4 linked regions of the Drosophila melanogaster genome follow. The protein of the gene in region 3 interacts with the protein of the main gene of each other region in a pairwise test. Each region holds a gene or a part of one and is shown on either strand. Other genes may lie near its edges.

Region 1 (5,482 bases), on a different chromosome or scaffold from region 3:
CAAATACTTTGTTTTTCTTGAGATTTTTTTCTTTTTGCACTTTTCTGTTGACTTTTTGCAACTATTTTGTTAAATATTATGTATTTTATAACCGCACTGAATTATTTTTGTTTTTCTTAGGTAATACTCATTTTAATACCACCAATATTAGATGGCAAGGTTTCAGATTTTCTAGAAAAAAAATTAAGTATTATTAAACTATTGTTATAACATGTTTTATGGATTTTTTCTAAGAATGCATTATGTTATTTTATTAGTAAAAGTATATAGTCATGCAACTTTTTAATGTTTACATTAAATGTATTTGTCAATATTTGTGTTTTCATTGATATTTGTATCTGAAGCGCTTTTCCATTTCCCATAACATTGATTTGCATTATTGTTTATTAATTTTAACAATTTTTTTTGGCTTTCTGGGTTTTCTTTGGCATTTCTTTGTTTTGGCTTTACGCTTTTACTTTCGCTGTTTGGCATTCGCTTTTGCCTTTTGCTTCTCGCCTTTCAATGCTGAATTCTGAATTCTCTTTTGCCATTGCCGGCTTTTTCGACACATACACACACGCCACTGCACACACACACACACTAACACTCAAGAACTCACACACGTGCGTGCCGCTCTCAAAATGGTGATAAAATATTGTTGTTTTTGCCGTTGCGGTTTGATAATATTTCACACACGGCTTTTAATTAAAAACATTTGAGTCTTGGATCGCTTGCATAGTTTTTGTATAGTTCGCTGCCGGTTTTCGTATTAATTTTTCATAAATTTAATCGATTTGCTTGAACAAAAACACATGCACACGCATACAGAAACATAAATTCATGGCATAAAAACAAATTTCTGCGACGTCATTGAATTCGCCGCAAAAGAATATGCGAATATGTGAAAGAGAAATAAAAAACCAAAGAAGCGTCCCTCGACAAAAGAAACAAAAATGTCTTCGAGTTGAGTCACTTACACGCACACACACCAGTACGTTATACACACACTCACACACACTCGCTGGTGCAAATAAACGACGCGTGACGAAAATTACACGGGAAATATTCGCAAAAATCCACGAAATTCGACAATCCTTCCGCTTCGGGCAAGGAATTTTTTTTAACTAACGGTGAAGGAGCGGCTGCGAACTGTTTAAGGCGAGCTCAGCGAATTTCGCCGTGCTGCGCTGAAGCTCTGCCGCTCTCCCTCTCCGCTCGCTCTCCACGCTCTCTCTCTGGATTTTGGGACTCTCTCTGCAGGACGTGAATACTGAGCAGAAAAAGGAGCAACAAAAAAAGCTTGGATGCAACATGCGGCTGAGTCAGTTAATGACGTACCAACCTTTTTTTTTCTCCCCCCTTTTGTGTGTCTTTTATCGCGCCTCTACCGTCATCAAGCTGGTACTCCCCCCATAATCATTTCCGATATGCAGTTCCATGCAGTTTCCCCAGACAATAGGCCTACAATATAGCCATATAGTCGCATATAGCCAGCACACTGAGTCGCCGAACGAGCGTCTTTATAGCCCGCTTTGTTCTCCCCCCAATTTAAAGTGAGCTCTGGAATAGTGGAACACCCTCAACGATAACTCCATTATCTATCCTTCAAACATGGAAATGTTGAAGGTTTTTTAAGCAACTTTGCAGATTTTCATAAAATACGTATTCTTATAAACGTCGAAAAATATGATAAAAAAAAAACAATTAAGAGCTTACTTTGTAGCATGTATGCAACTAAATTCAGTATTTCCAAGTAATTGTTATTTATAGGCTCTAACTTACTGTCATTAAAGTGTAAAGAACAGAAACTATTTTATTTATATTTCGAAAAAAAAACCATGACTTATTTTTGAGCTGTCGTTTTAAACAATTTGCACTTTACTTTATTGGGAAAATCCTAAAATATATTTGTGGGTTACAAAATTGGAGCACTGACTGTACTTGACTTTCTGTGTTTATCTTATATTGTTTGCTCAGCTCGTATTTCTTTTAAAGCTCAGCTCGCAGCTGACGCATTTTGTTGATTTTGAATGCTTAAAACTGAGAAACAAAGAGTAATTGTTTAATTCAGTTGAAGGGAAGGATTGCCAGCTATTTCGCTTTGATTTATGTGAAATTTACAAATCAAATTTATTTCGGTTGGAAAGTGTTCAGTTATCGTATCTGTTGTTTAAGCTTAATTAATTTAATTGTCACATATTCCATGGGATTTTGAACTGTACACGGGCTTATGCGTGTTTATTTCTTTTAAATAACGACAATTTGTTAAATTGTAGTAAAATATTTCATTATCGTTAGTTCCCTAGAGCCATTTCTGATTTTCTTCAAATCTTAGGTCTCCTTTCAGTTCTTATCGTACACAACTCGTTGAGAAATACACAAAACTGAAACGCAAAATTGTTGTTGTTGATAAAACTGAGCTAGTCACCGACAACAACCACAGTAAACATTAACCACAGCTTGTAGTTTGATAATGGATTTTTCTGTTTTAAAAATTGATGGTTTTCTCCAGTGCACAAATGTTCACCAATCTCGAATCGAAATTTGATATAAATTTAATCCATTTGAATTGAATTTTGTATCAATTTATTAGTAAAGCACTTATTTAATTACACATGTTTTATTTAGTCAAATTACTGGGCTTTTTATCTCGAGCTGAGAGTTCATTGTTTTATATTATTTATACACACATATCTTGAACTCGTCTTTTGTATGGATTATCGGTCTCTTAGTCATAGCGAATTAAATTGCTTTATGTTTTGGCATTCATTAGTTAAACATATCATTAGTTAATAAACCATGAAAGTTGATTTTAGATTTAATGATAAATTTTGTTTATAATCTTAATAGCCATGAAATACATATTTTATTTAGCCGCTCAAGTCATTGATTTGAATAAAGCTTGATGGGTTGTGCATGCATGTGTAGAGAGATTTCGAATCGTATTTTTAATTAATTTGCATGCACTGGCATCCGTTTTATGGATGCGGTTTGTTCATTTAGCTTAACAATTTAACACGTAATTTAATTCAGTCATGCAACATGTCAGAAACAGATTTTCTTATTATTGTATTTTCTAGGGGCGACAAATAGGAATTACTTTAAATGCGCGGCAAACAAAATTCAAGCTTTGTTTGTTTGTTTATTTTCCATTAGCCCACTTCGGTTTCGATTTCGATTTTCGGCCCAGTCCAGAATCAAGTTAAGACCTGGCTTTATCTGCATGCACAAACGGAAATCAACGACAAAACGACGACGACACGATGAAAACGAATCCACGAATCGCTCCGCTTCGAATCAACTGGCTGTTGTAACGGTCGCAGGCAAACTGAGTCCGAAAGATACAGATACAAGTACAAGCGGCCCCCGCGGAAAAGTTCTCTCACCGCCTCTCGCTTTTTATACCTCTTCCTCTCTTTGTCGATCTATCTCTCTCGGTTGTTTGTCGTTTGCGGCAAGCATAATAAAATAAAACAAGTGGTCGAGTTTTCCAACTTGCAGATACCCGGTTTTTAGATACAATAAGTTTTAGATACACTAAGCTTAACTTCCCAATGATAAATATAATTTAAAAAATTACTTTAGGAATTTTATTTAAAAAATAGATATAATATAAAATATATTTTAAAATAATACTCTGCAAACGCAATATACTCTGGGAATTTCTGAAGTACAGGGTAATCCAAAAGGAGAGCGGAATCGTTCTCTCTCTTGCGATGCGATGGCAACAACCACCCACAACATAAGCGGTTCACTCGCCCCCACCACACCACCAGCGAAGGAACAAAAACAAGCAAACTCTCTCTCCCATAAACTGAGAGCGCGTTGTTGTTTGCGGCGAAGTCGCTCAAAAAACGCCATTTGGGGAGACAGCAACAACTTTTGGGACTCATACTGTTGTCCCGTTCGCACTCGAGCGCTCTCTAACTTCCGGTCCCGTATGCTGCGACGTAGTGTTGTTGCTGTGGCTTTTTCAGTGGGGAAATGAAAATGAGCATCATTTGGTATTTACTTGGTATTTTTCGGTACTTTAAAATTGTTGCTTAAGTGCAATAAAAAATTTAATTTAATTAATTTGAAGGAAATGCTTGTAATATTGTAATTTTTATTTAACACACACTTTATTATTATTTTACCTTTACCATTTTTATATGATTGTTAAACAACGACTTAATCCCAGTTTATAGCTTATTTTATAGCGTTTTTGTCGCCTGTTGCACCCACCGCAATTACCAAATGTCGGCACGCCCCCGCAAAATTCAAAATTTACACAAATTTTTTGCAAAATCGCAGACGGGCGCTCCCAAATCAGAAGAAAAAAATCTAAAACAATAATTTCAGCGGCTTATTAGACGGCCTAAAAACATCAAAGGCCTACCCATTCCTAAGCAAGATTTCATGAAATTTGCTCCTTTTTTTATTTTCTTTATAATTCACAACAAAACGCGCAACAAGCGCAACGAGTTTTCTGCAATCGAGCAGCTGACGGCGAAAAAGAGTTTTTTTCTGTAATATATTTTCCCTTATTTTGTTTGGTCCATTTTTTCATGTTGGTTCCTTTTTTGTCGGGACACAAGAAACTTGTTTGCAGAGCTTCGGGCGATAAAGAAGGAGAAATATATAACAATAGCAACAGCAACAACAGTGACTGAGGCAGACAGGTCAAAGGAGCAGTTTTTGCCCCTGCCACGCCTCCATTTCGTCTACATCTTAACCGCCCACCGCCTGCCACGCCCCCGCCGAAGCAGCAATAAATTCTGCCAGAAAGCGTCTTCGATTAGTTCGGAAATGGCGAGAGAAGTGACTGAAACGAATAAAAAGAAAATGTTCTTAGAAAAAGTCGTCATACGTCTTCTGGACTAAGAGATACCTCTTAATTCATTATAAAAGATTTTAGAATAAGTTATTGGAATTTAGAATTAAAAACAATTATACAACAATTATAACAACTGAAATATTTTAATACCATACATTTTAGATTATTGACAGTTACCACACTTTTTAATAGATGTAGATTGCCCAAAGACCCCAAGATCCATTCAGGAATACAGGACAACAGGACAAAATAAGCCATTGATCTATATCAATGGCAATATCTAGTCTGCAACTGATGTTCCCAGAGTTTATTACCGCTCAAAGGTAGAAATTTATAGCAAACTGCGCATTCAGCAAATTTGGGTCATAAAAGTAATTAGTGAAATCTGTTCCAGTACAGATTGGTATTTGTGGGTGGATTTTAATTACCGGCCAGAAGTTCATGAAAGTGCCAAGAAGTTTCCCACTACCCCGCCATTGGCTAATTGATTTAGCTTCCGTTTTATTGATCAGCAGAAAGGAGTGAAACCCTTGGCCGGCAGTAAAATCGAACACGTGGGGCCTTCTGGGGTTAAGGGGCAGAGGAGCAGGGTGTTAACCAGCAGCGGGCAACGTCGGTTATTGGCCTAATAATGAAACAGCCATAAAATTAAAAAGCGCTTTCAGAGATTTAGGGCTCAATAGA
Region 2 (4,158 bases), on a different chromosome or scaffold from region 3:
GTTGTCATTAATTCTGGTCAACAAGGAGCCGGAGACGGATTTCTTGAGCTGACCGCAGGCACAGCGACATTTTCATCACAATTTAATACAAAAAACTTAGCTGAAAGATATTTGCTGCACTGCCCAAAAGTTTGAAAAGAAATTATTACCAAATAAAGCAATCATAATTATCCTAAGCTCATTAAATGGCAATATCCTTCAGATTGTCATACTTATACTATGGTCAATTTAGATAGTTTATAACAAGAGTAGTACATATATTTTATATAAACGTTTCAGTTTTTATTTTCGATAGGGGCCTTGAAAACGTTTTAAGTACACGTTAACAGGGCATTTCTTTCTATTTCTCCAAGTGCCTGTTTCGACATTATTGGATTGGGGGAATAGCGACAGCCAAAACACACAATCCGAGTGCCAGTGGAAGCGTAATCGATGCGGCTCACATTAGATGGTCGTCCCGGAGAGGGCCAAGCCCGGTTGAAGTGAGCCGGACGGAGTCCTTGGCCAGCCAACAGCATTTCAAGGGCTCCCCAACAGAACCAACTGGCTGACCTCTCCGAGAACTGCTCCCTTCGCTGCCGCTGCTGCTTTTTATCCCAAGCTGCTGCTTCGTTTATCATTTGTTGTTCACTTGTCGAAATTTTATTGCTGCAATCTTGTTTGTCGTCGTCGTCGTCGTCTCGTCCTTTTCCTTTTCCTCGTCAAAGGAGCGCGCACGCTGGGGGACATTTCAAATGCCTTCCTAAGGACTTTTACACACGTAGTATATAATTGGGGTCGGAATTTTAGCAACAAGACCTCTTTTTCATTCTCATAGTTCTTTGAACTATTAAAAAGGGATCGAAGCCCATTTATGCGATCTAAGTATAATTATTTTAGCAACAAAAGTTTTTGGAACTTTTTTTGAAGATTTTATTAATTTTAAAATGCATAGGTAAAAATATAAAAATATTTAACGTGAAAACGTGAATCAAAATATTAGTTAATATGTATATTTTTTCTAAGCTTTCTTGCTTGCTATTATTTTTATCCCAACTGTGTTCAAATCCACTTGAACCAGAGGCGTAGCCATATCCTGATGAATATTCGGATCCTTTTCTTACTTACCCCCCATCTACGCAACTGGTTGGGTAAGCCGAGTGCTCCTTTTATCCGAGAGGACATTGGACATTGTTGTTCAGGCTGTCGTCGTCGCAGCCGGAAATGCGTCTAATAAGCGTGTGTGTCGGGTGAGCGCATTACGTATACGTAATATACATTTATATCTAAGTGTACTACATACGTCTCTGCCAGCAATTTAAAGTGCGACCCTTTTTTATTTTTGGGCTGCTTTTAAACTGCTGCTCCACAAACAATGAGAGCAAATATTTCAGGAAATTAGTTTCCTTTGTTCCTCCAGAGAGTCTGAGACAAAAGAAGCGAAATTTTCCGCAATCAGCGAAAGAAGCAACCATAAAAACGCTCAGCAGTGCAGGGCAAACAAAACGAACGGCAGAGGAAAATCAATAAAACGCAGTTAATATAAGGATTAAATAGATGAAAAATTCTTCAGGCCAAGTTTTCGCTGCTCCTTTAGGATTAAATCTATTTTATGCTTGGCATTTATGGCCCAGACACGCACAGTGGCCCACAAAAGTCACTGCCCGACAGCAACTACACACTACATGTGTCAGCATGAAAGGCAATGAATTGTTTTTATGTGCTAATGTCCTGCAGGATTGTGTTCTGGAGACTGGCCCCAAAATCCAGTATGCTTTTGCATGCCCGACACGTAAGGCGATTTGATTTCAATTTCCCAGATTCAACTTGCCACTGTCGCCTTTGACCGCCCGCCCACTCGAATGAGTTGGCAAGTTTGGCACACCGCTGCGTATGCTTAATACGATTTGGGCCCAGCCATCAGATAATCACTGGGTATTTCAGCCACTCCACTGCGGTGAGTGTCGCCGTAAACAATTTCTGATCGATGGCTCCCGAAAATAATCAAATAATTCGATTAAACCGATTTCGCTTAGCCGGTTTTCCCAGCTATAAATATGCATGTATATGCCTTAAAACAGAGCAAAAGTCAGCCAAAGTCGTCCGTTTGGCAAAATATCACTACCGTCATTTAGAGAAATCTATGCTTATCACTTACCACTTATCATTCGAGTGGACAACGTTTGCCGCCAGTTCGCTTGTGAAGTGCGTTTAATTGAAAGCCTGCGGTTTGTAATCTCACCGGTTTCTCACAAGTCCGATAACAGCAGATACTTTTTTTTTTGGCTTGGGTCAATCAAAGCCGATAAGTGGGACTGCTTCCTTTTTGGCCGACATCAATAAAAGAAAGAAAAAAATCGAAAATCGGAGCAAAACCCACGACTGATAAGCAATTTCACGCGAATAAACAGAAGTGACTTGGTCAAAATACAAGAGGCACGGCCAATGATAAGCCGCCCAATTAGTTGGTATAAAAGTGCTGGTGTGGCCGGTAAAGAATCATTCGTTCTCCGACCATCATGAAAGTGCTCGTAGTCTTCGCCCTGGCTCTGGCCACCGCCTCCGCCGGTCTGCTGCCCCAGCAGGTGCCGATCCACCCCCGTGACCTGCCCGCCGTGACCAATATCGAGGGTCGCATCACCAACGGCAAGACCGCCACTTCTGGCCAGTTCCCCTACCAGGTGGGACTCAGCTTCGCCAGCACCAGCGGCAGCTGGTGGTGCGGTGGTTCCATCATCGACAACACCTGGGTTCTCACTGCTGCTCACTGCACTTCTGGGTGAGTTAACTTATTTATTTATCTACAAAATGAGTTAAATTTTAATGTATATCTCTCAGTGCCTCCGCTGTGACCATTTACTACGGAGCCACCGTGCGTACTAGTGCCCAGCTGGTCCAGACCGTTTCCGCCGATAACTTCGTTCAGCACGCCAGCTACAACTCGATTGTGTTGAGGAACGACATTTCCCTGATCAAGACCCCAACGGTTGCCTTCACCGCCCTTATTAACAAGGTTGAGCTGCCCGCCATCGCCGGTACCTACTCCACTTACACTGGACAGCAGGCTATTGCCTCCGGATGGGGCAAGACCTCCGATTCCGCCACCAGCGTCGCTAACACTCTGCAGTACGAAGTCTTCGAGGTTGTGTCCGTCTCTCAATGCCAGAACACTTATGGCTCTCTGGTAGCCACCAACAACGTGATCTGCGTTGCTACCCCCAACAAAGTGTCCACCTGCAACGGCGACTCCGGCGGCCCACTGGTCCTGGTCAGCGACAGTAAGCTCATCGGTGTCACCTCCTTCGTGTCGAGCGCTGGTTGTGAGTCCGGTGCCCCTGCTGGCTTCACCCGTGTGACCAGCTACTTGGACTGGATCAAGACAAACACCGGCGTCTCCTACTAAGCACAGCATAAATAAAAACGATTAATGACTAAAACCAAAACTTTTAATTCTGGGAAAACTATTGCAGATTTAAAAGTTAATTTAGCAGAATTACCGATTCCATATTTATGCTTAATACGAAAACTACCAACCTTTGTCCGAATTTATTAAGTAATTAAACTACAGCAATATTTAAATCATCTCGTATGCATGATCGGTATTACCACTGCATCTGGTTGATTATATATACATTATATATATATATATATATATATACATCCGATCATGCTTGCAGACTATTTTGTAGTATACTTTCTAGCTTTAAAAATAATTTAATTCGTAGTTTTCCCTAATTTGGTGATTTCGTAATCATTCTATCATAAATAACAATATATCAGCCTTCTAGACTGCAGTGGCAGAAACAGAAAAAAATATGCAATATTCTAAGAGCGTTCATTGTTTTTGTAGCTCCTTTATTGAAATTCTATATACAAGGTTACTTGAGGTTGGATGGCAATTATTCCTGGAACCCGAAGTAATCGAATTTCATATTCGCAGATCGTAAAGATCTATCGCAGATATAAGCAGATTGTAAATCTTCAAACCAACTGATTACGAATATTTAGAGCCGATAGATACCACTCATTCGGCAGACTATATAAAGAAGTGCCGCAAGTGCCATTGTTTTCAGTGTAAAAATCATTCAAGCGATGAAAGTGCTTGGAGTTTTGCTGTTTTCGGCTTTCGCCTTGGTGGCGGCCCTTGAAAGGCCTGTTCCCGTGAAGGATATGCCCGCT
Region 3 (5,451 bases):
TTATTAAACACTTAAATCCAATTTGTAATTTTAAGCCAGTACACACGAACGAAATAATAAAATACATAGAACCAAACACAATTGTAACCTGGAACTTAACCCAAACAATTCTTAACCAAAATTGCCAAAATTCAATTAATAAAATAAAAATAGAAGGAAACAAAATGATAAGAGTAACGCAATGCAAAATAGAAATCAATAATATAATTTTAAGTGAAAATCTGTTAGAACCAGAAATAGATTTGACACCACTATACACACCACTTAATATAACAAAAATAAAAATTGTAAAACACAACGACATTGTTGAGATGATTTCAGAGAACAATATTACACTTTACATACAAATGATCATTGTAATAATCGCACTAATTTTGTTGTACTCATATTTAAGATATGTATCATTTAAACCATTTATGATGCTGTATGCAAAACTTAAAATAAGAAAAAATCAAAATCAAAACACACCACAACAAACAGAAATAGAAGAAACTCCATTTCCCACACTATATCCATCAATCCCAGCCCAAGTATAGGCTTCTCTTTAAGGGAAGGGGAGTGACGTATTTGGGTGGTCCAAACCAGCCACTTCCATTATTTCAAAGAAATCAGTAATGCACTCTAGTAATTTTCCATAACGTATCCCAGCTGCGCAGCATTCGTTTATCTTTGGCAGCGCAGCCGTTCTTGTAAACATCCTAAAGCCTGACCTAAGCAGATTTGACTGCCCTCTTTCAACGCTACCTAATCTTAAGAACCCAAGAGCGAGGCTCTCCCGAAATACAAATATTGTTCAAATACTGAGGCTTCTCCTCAATCCAATTTGCATTTGATTTTTAGTCTTAAGCTGAGATCCAAAGAATAAAGTCGTGAAACTATTTCTCCTAAAAACTATTTTTTATTTCTTGGCGTTGTCCTTAGTCAACTGACGGGACATTAGTTCGACTCATAAATAAAACAACAATTTTACTATATATATATAAACTCCACCTGGGATACTGTTCTTTGTAGCTCCTTTCTACATCCAAACGAGCCTCTTTTCCCATATATGTTATATTGCTTGCGAATTGATTTAAATAAAAAGCTGGTTCACAATTTGAGGCGGCTCCTCCAGCGAAACCACAAAAATGTGCTGGGATATAATGCCGGCGAGCAGTGATATAATTTGCATGATTGACATTGTTTAACCTTAATGCACATTTGCCTCCGTCCAGCGCCTTGGATCGGATCGGCCATATAACGGCGCCGACTGGAATTAACTTGAATTTATTGGGCAGCGGCTGGATCGGCAAACCGGTTGAAGGAAGCAGCTGAAGAACGGGCTCCATATCGGGCCATATCGAGTGACTGCCTCTGCCCGCCCGATCCCTTCCTTGGCCACCGCGTAATCGATTTCAGGCGCGACCAGACGGCGACTGTACAAAAATACAAATGAACTCCCGCTGGCCAAATTTGGCAGCCAGGAAGGGGATGATCGAGCCAGCCAAGTGCGACCATTGAGCCCCTTTGACAAATTCAATTAATTGTCCCTCGCATAGAGCGTGTCATTGATGAATCGATAGTCAGGCTTCGGAGCACCAAGGGTCCCAAAGTCCCTTCACTCGATCGGAACAGGCCAATGGCCATAAATTCCCAGCAGCCTGGGCTAAAAATAAAGCCAGACACGACCTTGGAGCATAACGGAAGAAGTCAAGCGAAGGCTGGTCCTGTTTCCATTGGAGGGAGGGTTGGGGTGTGTGTGCGGTCCATGAGAGGGGCTAGAGGCCGCTGGCCAATTAAGTTCGAGATAAAGAATCCCAGCGACCTGGGCCAACAGAATATTTATTGACACATCCTGTAGGGCCGGCCGGCCGTTCGTCCAAGGACATCCACAACCGCTTCCACTTGCGGTTCTTTTCCACTCGCCGGGATGCGGGTATAAAAACCCTCGGACGCGGTGTCCAACAGCATCAGTCTTCCAACAGCAGTAGTCGAAGTTGTAGCGAAGTTTTGGAGCACCCAGAGTTCCAGAAGTCCTACCAGTCGCTACCCAAAGTCAAACCCAACGAGTTGAAAGCAACCCAAGCACAGCAAGATGCGGCTATTTCTGATCGGCTTGCTGGCCCTGGGTTCCGCGAGGGCCTTCTCTGTGATCCGCACCCAGCCGCATCCGCAGCTGGTGGCCTACGCTCCGGCCAGAGGCGAGTTCCCAGTGGTGAGTGGCCTAGCCCAGGGCTACGTCCGCTACTACGATGGCACCGGAGCAGAGCGACTGCTGCCTTACAACTACCCGGAACCGCTGAACGGCATCCGGGATCTGTCCACCTCTAGTCTAGTCCGCTCCGGTGAGGAGCAAGAGAGCCAACAGATCGCTCTGTTCCGTGCCTGGTGCGAGCAGCGCTACCAGGCCATGCGCGTAGAACTGGATCGCCTGAAGGCCCAGGGCCTGAAACCCACACCCAGCATGCTGGCTCAGTTCGAGCCTCTGGAGCAGATCGTCAAGTTTTCCGCCTTCGAAGCCGTTCCCGGACTGACCCCGGAGGTCCAGCGCGCCCGGGATGAGCAGCTACGCATCTGGAACGAGGCCAGGCTGGAGGTGCTGCGCGCCGAACAGGCTCAGCAGCTGCTCGGCCAGTCCCCGGAGTACCAGTACGAGAAGGAAAAGATCCCTGTCATGTACGCCCAGCCTATGCAGCAGCAGATTGTTCCATACCAGGAGAACATATTGATCAAAACCACCACTCAAGATGCGCCTCAACCCATTGAGGAGACACCGGAAGTGAAATTGGCCCGCCAGGAACATCTGAAGCAGTTCAACGAGGCCCTCCTCCGGCAGCCTGCCCAGGAAGCCATCATCCTTAAAGCCGTTCCTGGAATTAAGCAGCCAATCGCGAGCCAGCCTCAGCCGATCATCAAGAGCACCACAACCATCTTTGAGACCCAGCCAGCTGCCCAACCCCAGGGAATATTCCAGAGGGGCAGCTTCACAGATCAGCAGACCCCACAGCCCATCGACGAAACTCCAGAAGTGAAAAAAGCTCGCGAGGAGCACCTCAAGCTGTTCAATGAGGCCTTGCTCCGTCAAACTACTGCCCCCGCAGAACCCACTCTTAAGGCGACGACCACTAAGAACGATCAGCCCCAAGCATTCACCTTCCCAGAAAAAAAAGCTCCTCAACCTATCCAGGAAACTCCAGAGGTCGTGCGCGCTCGGGAGGAGCATCTGAAGCAGTTCAACGAGGCCATCCTGCGGCAGCCAGTCGACATCCAACAACAGCCCCTGATTGCAACCGCACCGTTTGCTCCTCAACCCATTTTTAAGAGCCCCATTGCCGAGGTACCACAGCCCGTCCAGGACACTCCGGAAGTCAAGCTGGCACGTGAGCAGCACCTGCTGCTACTCAACCAAGCGAAAGTACAGGCCGAGGACAAGGTGGCCGACATTGCCGACATGATCCGATTGGAGGAGCGCGAGCAGGAGAAGGAGCGTCTGCAGGAGCTGGAACTGCGCAAGCAGGAGGAGAAGGAAGCCGAAATGGAACGCCAGAAGGAGGCAGATCGTCGGCTCGAGGAAACCCGCATTCTGGAGGCCGAGCGTCTAAAGATCGAGCAAGAAGATCGCCAGCGGTTGGAGAGTGAAAAGCAGGAGCTCCTCCAGTTGAAGGCCACCTCCGCAGCCACCGTACCCGAGAAGGACACTCCTGAATATCTGCGCAAGGCGGAGCAGTTCAAGATCATCAACAACCAGGTGCAGCCCCAGCAGCAGCCCAACATCGTGACCCAGCAGCAGCAAGTGCAAAATGGCTTCTTCCTGCGCATCCAAACCAACCAGCCCAACGCCATCCAGCCATCCACGGTCCCAGTGAGCACTCCTGCCCTAGTTCTAGCCGAGCCGGGCTCCAATCCCTTCCTGGTTCGATACACCACCAAGTCAGCAGCGCGGCCGCTTCCTCTGCAGACGCTTCAGCCCCTGCCCACTCCCATTGCCTCCGAATTGAAGCAGCAGGTCACATACAGCTCCACGTCGTCCAGTGAACTGGACAAAGCCACCCGGGAGCACTTCCGCGCCCACGAGATCGCCCTGGAGCAGCTGCGTCTGGCCAACCTGCGGAATCCCTGGACCCCCGACTGCCAGCACTAGGAAGCTGGAAGGCCCTCCTCCGTCCGAAAACCCCCGTATCCGAGCACGAATTCGAATCACTTGCATTGCCCTAGGTTAGATCACATGCCCACATCTCCTCAAACACAACACGTAAATCCATAACACCCCTCATAGGTACTCATACTCATACTCGTACACCTGTATACATAGCTTGGCTATTCACGCCGTCTCCCGATTCAAAATGCATTCAGTTGAGAAACAACGCAAAATACAGCGCCCATTTGACTGGGGGATCGGATGGTGGTGGGTGGTGGTTGGTTTTTAATGGTTGATGGTGGTTGATGGTGGGTGGTGGTGGATGGTGGGGTAAAAAGGGGCGGAACAAAGGAAATGGCTTTCTCGACTTTACTGTTATAGAACGCTGCCATGCTTGCCATGCTAATTTCGAGTCGCCAGATTGTCGGATCGATCAGAATGCGCATAAAATGCTAAAATGCGCCGCAAACTGGCACAGATGAAGATGTTATCTGATCCGCTCGAATTCGTTTCTGATCGATTCAGATCTTTCAGCACTTGACGCATAAATAACAAGTTGGTGTTATATGGCCTGGTCTTTGTGTATGGTGGGGGGGGGGGGGGGGAGTGTGTGGATACTACGCGAGGATACTCTATGGGGAATCGCCATCGGAATGATCGGATAATACGGGAGTTTCGAGTGCAGTAGCAGCGATAAGTCAGTCGGGCATATTTAGGTAAAGGTAAGCCTAAAATTAGAATTTTCAATGCTGCAAATAGCAAGTGATATTTGCATTTCAGCACCAAGAAAGTGTAGCTATAATTCAAAATAAGGCCGACAGTTTGCCGGCCAATCTGCATAACAAATTTGGTAACTGCAGCCCGCGAATGGTGTCACACTTCTAGCTGTTTATACAAACTCCGCTATTGACCCTGATCAGCGATCCATATGTATGCACCGCCTCTTTAGGCCCGTTACACAAATCTCCATAAATCGAAGCCTTGCAATTCGCGTAGCGGCTTATGAAAATGCTCCTCAATTAAATTCAGAACGCCATCCACTTAGCGTCCTTACTGACCTATCGCAAACCAAAACCAGCCGACCGTTAATCGCCGTTGGAATTGATGAAATTACCGTTCGAAGAATCACACCCCACCCCTTTACGACGGCCCACCTGATTAGATTTCTCTATGCGATTACGTGGCGTATGAGTAATGGAAGCGTGGCGAAAGTGACTAATGTGGAAACGGAAGATGTTCCAACCATGGCCATATATATGGAATCTGATATCTCTGCTCGCTGGTGGCGGATGCGGAGACACTTGATAAAACACACAATTACAGAAGATTTGCTC
Region 4 (6,365 bases), 1.8 Mb from region 3:
GATGGCGCCAAGGCTTTGCTAGAGGTTCACCCAGAAGATGCCCTTCTGACAATCGCTTTAGACTGAATCCAGTGATGCGCCCCTAGTGCCTGGTCATCTCGCTCTAGCATGTCTGAATTTTTGAAATTATTTAAGTAAGCATTTTGCAACTACTTAGCAGTGTAAGCTCAAAAGTTATTTTGTTATTTTATAAAAGTATATTTAAACATCACGCTTTATCTTTCTTGACATCTGCTCTGCCCTTTTGGGCAACTGGTTTTTCTTTGTTAAGCCTTTTCAGTGGCTTGGTTGGGGTATCTTCTTGGGTGGCTCTACTTCGTCCTTTTCCCTTCTTCTCAAACCTCGCACTGTCTACAGATTTAAAACGCTCGTCCTGTAGGAGAGCTTTGCCCTCTTCGCTGGCTGCCGGCTCTGCGTGCTGCAGTTTTCTCTTTCGGCGTATTTCCCTTAGTTTATCCTTCTGTTTTTTACGATACCTGTGGATGGGATACAAAAATTGTTATAAAATACAACGAATATGCGTATTTTCCACTGCTTACAAAGCTTCCATTTGGTCGGGGTCCTTCCCCTCCATAATCCACGTCTTTCGCCTATAGTTTTGCGCTCGCTCGTCGAAATCGTTATTATCTAATTGCATCTCTGATTCACGGCGCGTGACATTTACTTGCATAAAGATTCTCTCCACCATGCGCTCTAATTTATATAATATATATATTAAAGATAGTTATTTTGTGTGCCACTAATTCCAACAAAACTTACGATCGATGGGATGCTCTGTAAGTTTGGTGTTGATCTCCTCCTCAATGGCGGCCAAAAGCTCTAGATCGCGTGGAAAGCGGAATATGGAGATGGACATGCCCTTGCGCCCCGCTCTTGCTGTTCTGCCTACGCGATGGATGTACTCCTTTGGTGTCCGGGGAAGCATGTGATTCATAACCAGCTCGACGCTGGGTATATCCAGACCTCTGGCGGCCACATCCGTAGCGATCAGTGTACGTATTTGGTTGGACTTGAAGCGACTTAGAGCAGCTACGCGCTCCTTTTGCCGCATGAAACCATGCAAGCAAACATTATCGATTTCCATGTTCTTCAGTGTCATCGAGAGAAGCTGACAGTACCTAAAATGATTCGTTATTAAATCCTTAGAATTTACTTCCTATTATTGTGCAACTAACTTTTTTGTGTTGGTGAAGATCATGACATTAGCGTTTTCGTTCTCCTCGCGATACTTTCTTAGTGCCTCTATTAAGACCATGTCGCGATCGTAGTCGGCGCACAGCAGATAACGCTGGTCCAGAGTCTCTACAGTGGCCACGTCTGAGTCCTGCGACCATTCAAAACACTACATTCGGATTAAGATATCTATTAGTACCATTCAACAGGGTATTCATAAAACTTACATCGCTGGCAATGGGAAATATGCTGGACTCCTTTATGAAGTCCTTCATGGTTGCGGAAAAGAAAAGGTTTTGCCTTGTCTTTGGCAAACAGCGCTCAATGATGGATAGGCTCTCGTCAAAGTCTCCGTTCAGCATGCGATCCGCTTCGTCAACAACCAAATACTTCAGATTGTCGAAGGAGAAGGTGTCGCAGCCGGTTAGGTGATCCGCGAGACGGCCGGGCATGGCCACCACGATGTGCGGTCGCTGCATAAGCTTCTGGCTCTCGACCATTTGGTCTGTGCCGCCAGAGACAACACATACGCGCACCCCCATCGCCTGTCCAGCCACAAGAAACTGCTCGGAGATTTGATAGGCCAACTCGTGCGTGGGCGTCAGCACCAGGGCGAAGTGGCTCACTGGCTCTTCGCTCAGCCGCTCCAGAATGGGCAGGGCAAAGGCGAAGGTCTTGCCCGAGCCCGTCTTGGCAGCTCCAATGCAATCCTGGCCCGCCAATATCGCTGGGATGCATTTCTGTTGGATTGGAGTTGCTCCCTTCAGGCCTGAAAGCGCAATGGTTTAATTACTTGGGTAAACCCGTGGACGGCTTGACATTACCCAACTTGGTCAGCTGCTTAACCAACCATGGACGTAGGCCCAGGATCTGAAAGGGATTGGCCTCCTTTCGTTGCATTTCGGTAAATAAAAATACAACGAAATAAAAAAGGAAAACAACGTGCGCTGTATTAGTGATGGAAGTATTGTCTTCTGTATCGGTATATAACTATCGATACGTTTTTAATTTTTGCTCCGTGTGAGTGGTTAGCTGTATTTAGTACGCATTTTTAATTTAAATTCAATTAAATTTTTTATTTACTTCAACCGCAGAATTATTGGCGAGTAATAAGAAAAAATTCACTATAAAATTAATAATACATTTTATAATTAATCGACAATAGTCACGCTCTAGACAGGTAAGATTCCGCATCTATGGGCGCGATCATTTTGTAAACACACTGAATATTTCGATTTAGACTCAATGCAAAGATGTCCGAAAACCATGATAGCCTGGGTGCATCTGTAGCCTACAGTGAGCTGGTGGCTATAGACCAGAAGGACATCATCCTGATGATAGACTTTGATTCGGCGGTTTCCATTTGCTCAGCATGTATCGCAAATAAATCCGCGAATCCTGTGGATGTCTTGACATTGTGGTTCACCAAACTATTAGGAGCATACATCGACGATTCCGGGTATTGTGTACTAGCAGCTCGGGAAATGTGCAAGTGGTTCACGATCGTAGGTAATTCTTACACAATGCGCTTCAGTCTATTAACTTTAAATTCGTCCTCAGGAAGCAGAAACTGGCAATGAAGTCCACAGCGGTCATATAAAACTCATGTCTGTGGCACAAGAATTTGTATCCACATTCAGGGATCGATTGCTGGAAGCAGGCGAACGTTTGGTTCAAATCCTTGCCTATCTTGTCTTTACAATTATCGACTTCTGTTTAATGTGGTAAGAGGGGCTTGGATAAAACCTATATGTAAAATATTTCTATATATTTTTGCTTACATCATTCAGCGATAAGAGTCATCGCCAGATTGTTGCGGATCTTCAACTCGAAACGCTTTCTTTAATAAAGGATTCTATCATTAATTTGACAGAAGTCCACCCTCGCCTTGCGACCTGTAAGTTAGGAATACTAACGAATTGATACACCCAAAAATTTGAGTATTATCTGAAAGTTGTTGTAGACTAATTATAGACTTTATATTAAACAATTGTCAGTGATGCAAAAGATAATGGAAATCGCAGATACCGAAGGAACACGCACTGGTGATCTGCAGTTATCTGTACAGACAGGCGAGACGTTGGCTCATATTTGCTTGCACTTCATGACAACCTGGCATGCTAATCCTACAGACGAAAAACTGCCCAATTGGCTTAGGGAAACTGTTTTTCATCTATGTGATGTGGTTACCGTTCACTTGAATAGTACTTTTGACATCGTTCGTATAACAAAGCTTACGATTTGTAAAAGAGTTTATTTAACAAGACATTTTTTTTAGGACAATCGTATTGTTCCTGCGGAAAAGTTAGAGGAGCTTGTAGATGGTATCAGGACCTACATTGTATTGTTATATCATATTCTTCAAAAAGGTGTGGTGTATGTTGATGATGATGTAGCTGTTTGTCTGATGGACTTAATAATGTGTGAACGAACGTAAGTTTGAAAAATGAAATGGTTATTTGCAATAATTGTATTTTCTTTTAGGAGGCCATCACATTACTCTGACATCGAGAAGCAACAGCTAATTTCTGTGTTAGTACGACCACATGTACTAGATATTTTAGAGCTGCTTTACAAGTTCCAAAAATGTCAAGAAGTAAGATGAAATTCAGAAATCGCTTGCAAATAAATGTCTTCGGATAGACTTTGATTGAAAACTATTCATTCATACAATACATCATCAGATTTTGTTAATGTTACTAAAATTTGTCCTTTTAGTATTTAATATCCAGTGTCCTTGGTACACCAAAATTTGACTACTTCGACGCTTGCATGGATTTTATTAATGCTGTGTCTACAGACGATGCGGATGTGCTCCCATCTACTTGCCGAACATTACAACAAACTTTTGAATATTTGTTTAAAGGTAAGGTGTCGATTCGATCATATTTATTTCTTACTACTTACTGAGCCCACAGATGCTAAAAATTTTGTTCACGGCGAACGCTATAATCAAGTATTGGATGCGTTTGGTTGTCTTTTGTATTTAGTGGGTAACATAGAACTACATAGGTATTTCTGTGCCGGCATATTTCAAAAGGATTTTATTACATCGCAAGTGTGTGCGGATATTCTCATGCTGTGCTTTCGGTTAGTAATTATAAATCATACATTTTAAAATTTATTTCACTATTCTATGTTTTTAGGCTAAAAGAGGCCAACAAATGCTGGACAGATCATGCCATAAAAGAGGCTATGGCTCACTGGCATAAGTGCAATAATTCTTACGCCATGTTTTCCACAAATCCAAGCCAATTGCATGTACAACGATTCCTTAGGTACTTCCACTGCTTGGGAAAGCAGGAACTTCCTGTCATAAGCATTCAAAACTTCCGGCACCTGTCTGTCGTCGCAAAATCAGATGGCCACGTGGGAATGAAGATATTGAAGCGCTTAGAACTCATCTCCACCTCAGCGCCCACAAAAGTTGAGTTGTACTATGAAGTGGTAAGCAAGTAGAAGTACACTTATAAAATGGATATACATACCTTGATTTTTTATACCCAAAGGTTGCTCTACTGGAACTTTTGGTGCACCACGATCAAATCGACTGTTCCCATTGGTTTCAGCGGACATCGGAAATGGCCAATAAACTTTTAGGCATTGACAAGAGCATTAGCTTTGCTAATGTTTACTTCAAACTACTAGCGCGTGCGAATGGATCCACCAAATTACTTATACTTAGGGGACTGCCTCCAAATGCTGGATGCACAAACTGGTATCGCGAGAAATTCCTCGACTCCTGCAAAGTCAGCGATGACGCCCAACTAAGAGCATTTAGTGCCCGCCATGCAATATACCCATTGTTTAAGGCATTGCATGTCGAACCCGGAACTGTTGTCGACGGTTCATTTGATCTCAGTAAATCAAGCTACATTCGCCATGGAGATCATAAATGTCCGGTCTCTAGTCTAAAACGTCGACGGAGTGAATTGGCGCCTAAAGAAATCCTTCGTAATATATATGAGGCTTCTCTTCAACTGACCCAGTGCACCGCGAATTTCGATGCTGCCGACTGGGAATTGCTCAAGAAGGTAATGGCCAATTTGAGTGGAATTGTACCCTAGCTCCCTGCTCTATGCTTTTCGTATCGCTCACTTACCTAAATCAATTAATTACCACCTGTGTACTCATTTTGAATAAGAATCCCTAATTAAGATGTTGTGCGATAAGGCGGTTAAAAATAACGTGTAAATAAAGACAGTTTACCTGCAAGCGAAGCGGATGTAAAGCTAACGAAACTGCCTGCGAAATAGGATCGAAAGGCTACCCTGGTGATGTCTGATCGTCGGGATGGTGCCATTGCACTCAGCGAAGCGATGACAATGCCCAGGGATCCGGGATTGGCAAACCCACAAAGGGCAAAAGTGGCTATGGCAGCGCTCCGCGGCTATAAGAATACTAGTTTTAAAATAATCTATAAGAATAGAATATGCAGATGGGTACTCACATCAACCTTTTTATCGCTAACCAATATGCCCAGGTTTCTATAAGCCACAAACTCGTTTATGAACGACTTTTGGGCCACCACCAGGCCAATTGCTTGACAATCGTGCCACGGCACGCCCATCACGAAGACAATCGGGATAAAGATCTGGGAGAGAATGTAGAGTAGGGTGATGTTATGCAGTCCAATTAGCTCGAAAATCCACTCCGTTACAGCGTCTAGGAAGAACACAATGGCTAGGAAGGCGATGATATTCGAGACGATTCCGAGCACAATCAACAAGGCTGCTGCAGCTCCCGAGGCGGCCGCATCCAAAATAGACGTATCCGTCCTTGGCAAGGTGTCTGGGCGATTATCAAATGTTGACTCTTATGAAGAGGAACTTACGAGCTTTCCAGCTTAATGTTGTCGGACCTGGTCAGAGATTCCTCGGTCTCGGGGTAGAACAGTTTGGCGAAAGCCAGTGAACCCGGAGCAGCCATTACGCTGGCTGCGATAAGAAAGCTGGCGGAAGCACCGAAGGACACATAAGCCCCCAAGACAGTACCGGCCACTGTCGCGTAGCCGGAGGTGCATATAGCGTGCAACTCGCTGACGGTCAGTATTTCGATGTACGGCCGGATGACCAGAGGGCTCTCGGTCATGCTTAGAAACACGTTGCCCGCTGCATTTACACTTTCGCAAACGGTGGTGCCCACCATGGCCTGCAAGAGGAACCCAAAACCGTTCAGGATGAACTGCATCC

The links.
Region 1: the proteins of CG1850 (region 3) and msi interact in a two-hybrid assay, tested with the Drosophila melanogaster proteins (one large-scale study listed by BioGRID).
Region 2: the proteins of CG1850 (region 3) and Jon65Aiii interact in a two-hybrid assay, tested with the Drosophila melanogaster proteins (one large-scale study listed by BioGRID).
Region 4: the proteins of CG1850 (region 3) and CG13742 interact in a two-hybrid assay, tested with the Drosophila melanogaster proteins (one large-scale study listed by BioGRID).

Annotation. Positions count from the first base shown.
Region 1 is NT_033777.3:25,513,950-25,519,431, reverse strand, and holds the start of msi (musashi), read right to left. Parts: upstream 3,315-5,482; 5' UTR 3,083-3,314; intron 1,110-3,082; exon of another isoform or gene 960-1,109; intron 172-959; 5' UTR 1-171.
Region 2 is NT_037436.4:6,048,279-6,052,436, forward strand, and holds Jon65Aiii (jonah 65Aiii), read left to right. Parts: upstream 1-2,478; 5' UTR 2,479-2,498; coding exon 2,499-2,758; intron 2,759-2,817; coding exon 2,818-3,382; 3' UTR 3,383-3,412; downstream 3,413-4,158. Other genes in the region: Jon65Aii (jonah 65Aii), read left to right, coding at 4,072-4,158.
Region 3 is NT_033778.4:7,257,762-7,263,212, reverse strand, and holds CG1850 (uncharacterized protein), read left to right. Parts: upstream 1-1,943; 5' UTR 1,944-2,074; coding exon 2,075-4,120; 3' UTR 4,121-4,346; downstream 4,347-5,451.
Region 4 is NT_033778.4:9,083,619-9,089,983, reverse strand, and holds CG13742 (uncharacterized protein), read left to right. Parts: upstream 1-2,351; 5' UTR 2,352-2,353; intron 2,354-2,413; 5' UTR 2,414-2,426; coding exon 2,427-2,678; intron 2,679-2,733; coding exon 2,734-2,897; intron 2,898-2,963; coding exon 2,964-3,070; intron 3,071-3,170; coding exon 3,171-3,391; intron 3,392-3,451; coding exon 3,452-3,606; intron 3,607-3,657; coding exon 3,658-3,769; intron 3,770-3,891; coding exon 3,892-4,039; intron 4,040-4,091; coding exon 4,092-4,263; intron 4,264-4,266; exon of another isoform or gene 4,267-4,319; coding exon 4,320-4,620; intron 4,621-4,661; exon of another isoform or gene 4,662-4,682; coding exon 4,683-5,240; 3' UTR 5,241-5,284; coding exon of another isoform or gene 5,285-5,322; 3' UTR 5,323-5,382; downstream 5,383-6,365. Other genes in the region: Nadk2 (NAD kinase 2, mitochondrial), read left to right, coding at 1-66; Dbp45A (DEAD box protein 45A), read right to left, coding at 209-476, 540-693, 760-1,118, 1,176-1,342, 1,401-1,942, 1,998-2,073; CNT1 (concentrative nucleoside transporter 1), read right to left, coding at 5,285-5,322, 5,383-5,563, 5,624-5,951, 6,008-6,365.